Oryzias latipes: one gene and its partner. The protein of the gene in region 1 purifies or fractionates together with the protein of each later gene. This does not show direct contact. Links are inferred from orthologs where the notes say so. Each region holds a gene or a part of one and is shown on either strand. Other genes may lie near its edges.

Region 1 (4,434 bases):
CAGAACGTTGTTTACTGAACTGCGGATTCTTCTGGAGCACTTTGTCATGAAGCCTGCCTGCCCTGCCTTCTTCAGGAGGATGTGCCTCAACAGCATCGCCTTCATCAGCCGGCTTGCCCCCACAGGGGTCTGATTATTACCAATTATGTTAGTTTATTCTTTTACTGTTGCTTTTTTCTGTCCTGGTTTGTTGTTTGCTGTGGAACTGGGCAGACGATGCCATCAGTGGAAGGAGCTTGTGTTTTGAGGATCACATTCAGTCTTTTTCTGTGTGACGGTGCAGTCAGAGATCAGCCTCCAATGCTCTGAAGTCCTTTGGGGAGGTTTTGATTTTCATCTTCTTGCTACAGACGGCAATGTCAAAATATCAGCTGTTCACTATTTATTCAAAGAAATGGTTTATTTTATAATAAAACATTAACAGTCTGAACTACTTGAGTATGTATGTATACATGATAAATCTTGTTTTTGTTTGTTTTAATGCTTGACTTCAAGTGATTTCCATTGATACAAAACATGCTTGGCTAATGTTTTTTAAAAAAAAAGCTTTTAGCTGAATAAAATTTGCTGTATTTTTTAGAATAATTGAACCCGCTCAACCGTTTGGTTTAGGATGCGTATTTAAAATGATTTTGACAAAGCATGCCATGTTTGTTTGAATGTTTTTTAGATGGAAAACTTGACCTCCTTTCATTTATGAACGTTCCTAGCTCTCCTCCGCAAGCCTACTTTTTTTAAACCTGTTAAATGTGCTTTTTGCCTACAGTCATGCCACATTTTTGTATAACAAAAATGAAGTTATCTCTTTAATAAATCAGAAGAAATATAAAGAAAATTCACGTTTTTGTTTGTGGTGATATTCCTTGGTCAGGGCTGCAAGTGACCATCGGCCCAGATCTAACGGATGAAAGAAAAACCCATTCCTGCTGTAAAATAGGCTTATTTTTTCCCACACAATACAACAATCTTTTAAGCTGGAACACATTTGGGTTATCCAAAATCAAAAAGGGAAAAGTCTTTTCTATCTACCCCCTTTTTTTATTTTTACAAAAGGAGATCCTAAAAGCGGATAATTTTTCTGTTTTTATTTGTGAAATTGATTAAAATCATTTTATTCCACATTTTCTAAGACTTTTGCAAACCAAATAATAAATAAAAACAACTCTTTTCAAAAATCCTACTGAAAACAGATTTACATTATTTCTGAACAAAGGCAATCAGATGTGTAACATACATGACAACATTAATTTTCTGGATTGTAAACCTTTTTACTCAAAGTTGCTGTTACGTTTATTTATTGTAAATTATAATGCCGGATTTGTATGAATAAAGTTTTTTTTTAAGCATTTGTCTAATTCGGACACAAGGCCACAGTCCCAGCAGCCAATCAGCTTTCAGATTCATCAATTTCCTTCTTAGCCTTTATCCAATTGGATCGTATTTTACAGACTGTAGCGTCGTTGCCATGGGCAACATCACCGAGGCTACACAGTTTATTTGGCAAAATCAATGTTACACGGTAACTCTTCTGCTCTGCATTCATATCCAAACCGTGTTGCTCAGCGCGTAACGGATGTCCACCTTTACATTCTTTTAAAAACGATGACGTCATCTTTAAAAAAAAGGACAGCTGGCCGTGAATTAATCGTGTTAGCCGATTAGCTTGCTAGCTAGCGTTAGCGCATCTGCATAATCCCCTGCTTTCAGATAATCTCAGTCCTAATTTGCACCGGTTTCGTCCTGTAATTTAACCTTATCTAGATTTTCTTTTACCAATTGTAAGCGAACATAATCATAGTCGGATATAAACAGCACCCCGTAATCTGGTCAAAACCAAAGAGTCGCCGGATTTTTCTGTTATTCCCCGACAAAGTGAGGACGAGGTGAAGGCTGAAGATGGAGATCCACCTTAACAGAGTCGATTATGTTCAGGTAACACGACACATTTAAATTGTATTTATTTGTACTTTTCGTCTTGTTATATTACTTTAATGTGGACGTCTGCATTTGGAGCTGGTGATAGTTGAAGTTAATTCAAACCATCACTGCTCCATCGTTCCCCTTCAGGTTGGAGTGACATCTCAAAAATCTATGAGACTTCTTCCAGCTTTGGGGAAAAAGGCAACTCAAAAGGTAGAGTTTGTGCCGTTCTTTTCTGTTCTTTTGGAGTCTCCTTACTAATCTCAAGAATCTCCTTTTCGTGCTTTAAGTTTTTTTTTTAATTGTTTGAACATTTTAAACTGAAGCAAGCTATAAAACAAGACATTCACAACAAAAGCAATAAGAAAATCATTTTGTTCAATTTCTTTCCAACTAAGTTGCATAAAAACATCAAGTTGAATGCAGAAAAACAGCTGTTTAAAGCCTGCATAGCCACAGCCCTCTGGTCTCCTTTGAGATGCTCTCTTCCGGTTGGAAAACAGTTTGCTGACTTTGATACAATTTTAGTAACATCTTCACTAATGATCTGCAATGTTCCCCAATGAAGGATTTTTGTGTTGCAGGTTGCCATTGCTGATCACGATGGGATTCTGACATGTTTTGGGATGAAGAAGGGGGAGGCAGTGGTGGGTTTAGGTTTTACTGACTCATCATTCACTTCTCCTGCTGTCAGTAAAGAGACTCTCATTTCAGCCTGTGTTTAAAACACTCCCGGGCCAGAAGATCTGTAGGATGGACCTTGGAGGTGCTCTTGGGACTCCTCGGGAGAAGATCTTTGTCTGCTCCGGCTCTCAGGTTCGAGGATTCACCAAGAAAGGCAAACAATTTCTCACCTTTGAAGCCAATCTTACTGAAAGCATCAACGCCATGTGAGACGCGCTCTAAAACTTCTCTCATCATTATTATTGTTTGCTCTAGTTGAGTGAGTTGTTCGGAGAAGTGATGGAGAATTGTGAGCTTTCCCCTTGAGTGGTGTTTGTCTTCCAGGTATGTCTCAGGTGCTGACCTTTTTGTGTGTGCAAGTTACATTTACAATCACTACTGTGACTGCAAGGATCAGGACTACTTCCTGTCTGGAGACAAAATCAATGATATCACTTGTGTGTCCTCGGAAAAGCTCCCTCACCTCACGCCGGTCTTGGCATGTCAAGATCGAGTTCTGAGAGTCTTGCAGGTCAGTTGAGCTTTTATTTCTTTATCTTTTCATTTCAGGAAGTGCATGACCTTCAGTCAGTTCCATATAGTTTACTTTCTATCATTTTATCTGCATGTGACTGAAGGGCTCCACACTTGCCTATGACATTGAAGTCCCCGGTCCTCCATCAGTCCTGGAACTGTACAATAAAGATGCAGGCTAGTCCATTTGTTTTTCAGCTGAGTATCCAAAGAATATTATGGCTTCGATCTGCTCTTTTTACACCAGCTTTGGCATTCCATCCATCTTTTCTCAGGGGAGGAGGTCCTTTATGGAACTACAGATGGAAGACTTGGACTTGTCCAGATTGGCGAGCACTCCGCTGTGGCCAAGTGGGAAATTGATAATGACAATAAAAAAGGGGGTAACTCGCTTTTGGATGATCAAATATTTTCAATCACGTTTTCATAGAAGCTGCTTGAGTATCAGACTCATTTCTAAGTGTAGTTCAGCAGCAAACGGCGTTTGTCTCCTGTCAGGGATTCTCTGCGCCGACGCGTACGACATCGTTGGAGACGGCGTGAATGACATCCTGGTGGGCAGAGATGATGGGACGGTGCAGGTTTATGGCTTTGACAGTTCCAATGAGCCCACCTTACGCTTTGAGCATGTAGGTTTCTATCAGGAGTCTTTGTTGTTTTATTCATCTTCCTTCATTCTAATTAACAGTTAATCTCTGTCAACAAATCCATTCTGCCAAAACTGCATCCTTTTGTTTTTAAACCTGAAGCTATTTCAATTCAGTTGTTCGCTTCCTTTCCTCCCTTTCAAGCAATCTTTGATTTAATATCTATTATCTATTATCCTAAGTTTGATACGTCTTTGTATGAATGCTTATTGTATTGTTTTGTGCATTATTCCTTGATTGCTTGAAATAAAGCATTTCAAATAAATAAAAAAAAACAAAAAAGTTACATTTATTTGCGAAACATAAATCCATAACTTTAGTTGTTGAGCAGGTTGTCAAAGCAAAATGATGAATTCATTTTAAATTTCTTATATTTGTCTTTAACAGAACTTTTGTTTGTAGTTGTTGTTTTGGTGTTTAAAAGTCCTGTTATTGTTTGAAAAAGCTATTTATCCTGATCAGCATTTCATGACCTGAGGGCTAAAGCGGAAACGTTTCCTTCCTGGTCACAGGTTTTGTCTGAGAGTGTGACCTCCATCCAGGGAGGCTGTGTGGGGAAAGAGTCTTATGATGAGGTTGTCACTGCCACTTATACAGGTTAGTAGAGACGTTTTCCTGAACCTTACAACACTGTCAGCCTCTCAACTATTCTGAATTCACAGGTTTCACG
Region 2 (2,789 bases), on another chromosome or scaffold:
ATCAAAATAATAATTTTACTATAATACTTTGCCTTTATGAGTACCGGTAGTAAGTTTTTGCTTAATTAGGATTACACTTGGACACATTTAGAAGTGTAACAAATCCTGAACAGGTACGTTTCACCTGTGGCGTCTGCACACCCTCACACAAGGATTGGGCCAGTGCTAACGCTACATTTGGTTTTGTTTAACATCATGTACTCTAAAGCACTTATGTTTCAGAGACAGAATAGTGTGCTTTGGGAAGTGGTGAGAGGTGTTACACAGGAAATTAACTGCTGAGCACTTTCAGTACAAACTAATGCTCGTTTGCTGCTCTATTTAGTAAGCAGGCCAGGAGGATTTGACGTCAAATAAAGCACTGTTGACACAAGAGGGCTCCAGCGGGTTTTGAACTCACGCATCAGTCTGAGGACTTTGCAGGAGGAAGCAACAGGCCTGGTTTTTTACAAATCCTCAATCTCTGTTTTTCTTTTAAATGCTTGAGAAGCTGATGTAAAATGTGTCCAGAGTTGAACTCTTACTCTGTGCAGATTCTTATTTGTCATTTTATCACACGATTCTAGTCTTCAGGTCAAAGTTAATAGAAAACACACACTGGTCAAAATTCATTTTTTTAATAATTTTTTTTTTAAATATTAAATACTCTATACACATGACATTTATCCACATATAAAAGCATGTATTGCATTTTACATTCAAGTTCTGTGGTAGAAACAAGCCATGTAGCCTAATGTATGACGTCAGAAGCCTCCGTTTGCTAGAATCAACAGTGATTGTTGCAGCTTCTCCTCCACACACTAGAAGGAGAATCTGTCACATCACTGTAACTGGGATGCAGCTAGATTTTATGTGAAAAGAATTGAAACGTAAACCTGTAGGGTCCAAGGTCGATATTTCTAAAAGCTCTACGTCCAACAAGATGTGACATTAAAAATAAAGCCCAAACGCTCCTGTGGTTGAAGCTGCAAAGACGACTGACCTACTGACAGCTGGAAAGAACCGTAGGGCTTCGAGTTCATTCTTCTGCCCGCCTTTTCTTTTCCCAAGCTCCAGACGGGGAACCGTCACACTGCTGGTTGTGGGGAGCCGGGAGGGTCGGCGGGGAGGCCGGGGTCATTCCCAACCTCGGCCTCTGGATCAGGGGCCGCAAAAAGGCTTTTGGAAACCCCTAAGAAAAAGTAAAAAATGTAGTTTAGCTTGACTTTTTTCTCGTTTCTGAGGGAATTTTAGACGCCAAAAACCATCAAGATCATTTTTTCCTGGCATCATCGTGTCATTATGATTGTCACAAAAATAAATATAAAAATAATTTAATAGTATTGTTCAAAGTCAAATAAAAAAACAATACTTTTTAAAAATATTAATGTTTGAAATGTGTTAAAAAAACTTATTTCATTCCCTGTTCCCTGTTCTTTCAGCATGTCTGCTGCGTGTTTTTTGCTCGAGTAAAAAAAAGGAGTTTCTACAAAATCTTGCCATTGCTAATTTCTAAGGGATTGCCGTGAAGCCACTGTACCTGCTGGAAGCTGAATGTTCTTATTGTAGCTTGCAGCTGACGACATGGCCTGACCCAGAGCTTGGTTTGTGCCAAGAGGAGCGCTTGGGCTTTTGGCCAGTGTTGCAGAGTGAGGCTTGGATTTGGAGTCCTTGCCTGGTTTGGTCCACTGCAGGCTCTCTCCCACCTGCAGAGCAGCCCCCAATTTCTGAGCCATGTCCATGAGCTGTTGGTGCATCAGAGAAGAGGATTAACAACGAGGAAGGACAAAAAAAACAGAGCCGCTGAAGCAGAACACACCTCAGGATCAAATTCTAAGTTGCTGCTGCTGTCCTGCAGGATGTTGACTTTTCTTTGCATCTCCTGATATTGATCCAGAGCTGCTGTCTTGTCCCCGTGATTATAGAGGAAGATCGCAAAGTTCAAGTTGACCAGGGGGTTGGATCTGTTAGAGATAGATCATAAAGAAAGCTCCCAAACCGCATCAATGATCTGAAAGGATGAAATGGTTACACAACTTCATGTCTAAGGCAAAGTAAACTCACTCATCTAGATTCACAGCTTGCTCATAAGCTCTGGTGGAATTCTCCACGTCCTCCAAGTTAGTCAGAGCCACTAGTGAAGATAAGACAAATGACAAATTGAACACACACTACTCACAAGAAGTTAGAGATATTGTCAAAAACTACTCAGAACATATACACAGTGTTCATGGGGAGGTAGGGCTGGGCAATATAGAATTTTTTATATCACAATATAGTTTTTTTTTTTTTTTAAATATCAGACGATAATATATATTACAATTTATACCATGGTACGGGTGAATACTTGATTCTGATTGGCTGCTGGGTGTGACAACCGTTCCGGTCACATAGCTTACATGTTCTATATCACAGCGCCGGCTTCTTTAAAACAAACTTTAGCTTCATCAACTGAACAAAAACAAGCGGTAAGAGATGAACTTTCTCTCTGAACTGATACCACGGCGGCCCACTTTATTTAACCCACTGTGACGATCAGCATAGATATTGCTTTCCTTTGCTGCTGCGGTCAAGATCAGTGCGTTGTCATGTTACCGTGACAACGCACCGCACCACCTAACAATGGTCCGCTTTTTGAATCTTTTCAATCCTAACCAGAAAAAAATAGTACTAAAAACTGATTGAATATTTATTTATTTTGTAATTGATCATGGTATAAGCGGGACTGGCTGACGAAGTGTGCAGAAATGAAGGCAATTCACGGAAGCAACCGTCCAACGCAAAGCGTCCACAGATTCTACAGTGTGCGT

Evidence for each region.
Region 2: the proteins of bbs7 (region 1) and bbs4 purify together in Homo sapiens (co-immunoprecipitation; 7 studies listed by BioGRID and IntAct, counting the BioPlex papers as one, with this or other methods). This does not show direct contact. The link is inferred for Oryzias latipes from reciprocal best matches to the Homo sapiens genes BBS7 and BBS4.

Annotation. Positions count from the first base shown.
Region 1 is NC_019868.2:200,938-205,371, forward strand, and holds the start of bbs7 (Bardet-Biedl syndrome 7 protein), read left to right. Parts: upstream 1-1,439; 5' UTR 1,440-1,896; coding exon 1,897-1,932; intron 1,933-2,067; coding exon 2,068-2,133; intron 2,134-2,504; coding exon 2,505-2,567; intron 2,568-2,634; coding exon 2,635-2,810; intron 2,811-2,928; coding exon 2,929-3,115; intron 3,116-3,221; coding exon 3,222-3,294; intron 3,295-3,392; coding exon 3,393-3,500; intron 3,501-3,615; coding exon 3,616-3,746; intron 3,747-4,276; coding exon 4,277-4,361; intron 4,362-4,434. Other genes in the region: tmem33 (transmembrane protein 33), read left to right, coding at 4-133.
Region 2 is NC_019861.2:10,995,036-10,997,824, forward strand, and holds the end of bbs4 (Bardet-Biedl syndrome 4 protein), read right to left. Parts: intron 2,114-2,789; coding exon 2,044-2,113; intron 1,944-2,043; coding exon 1,799-1,943; intron 1,725-1,798; coding exon 1,520-1,724; intron 1,172-1,519; coding exon 1,068-1,171; 3' UTR 602-1,067; downstream 1-601.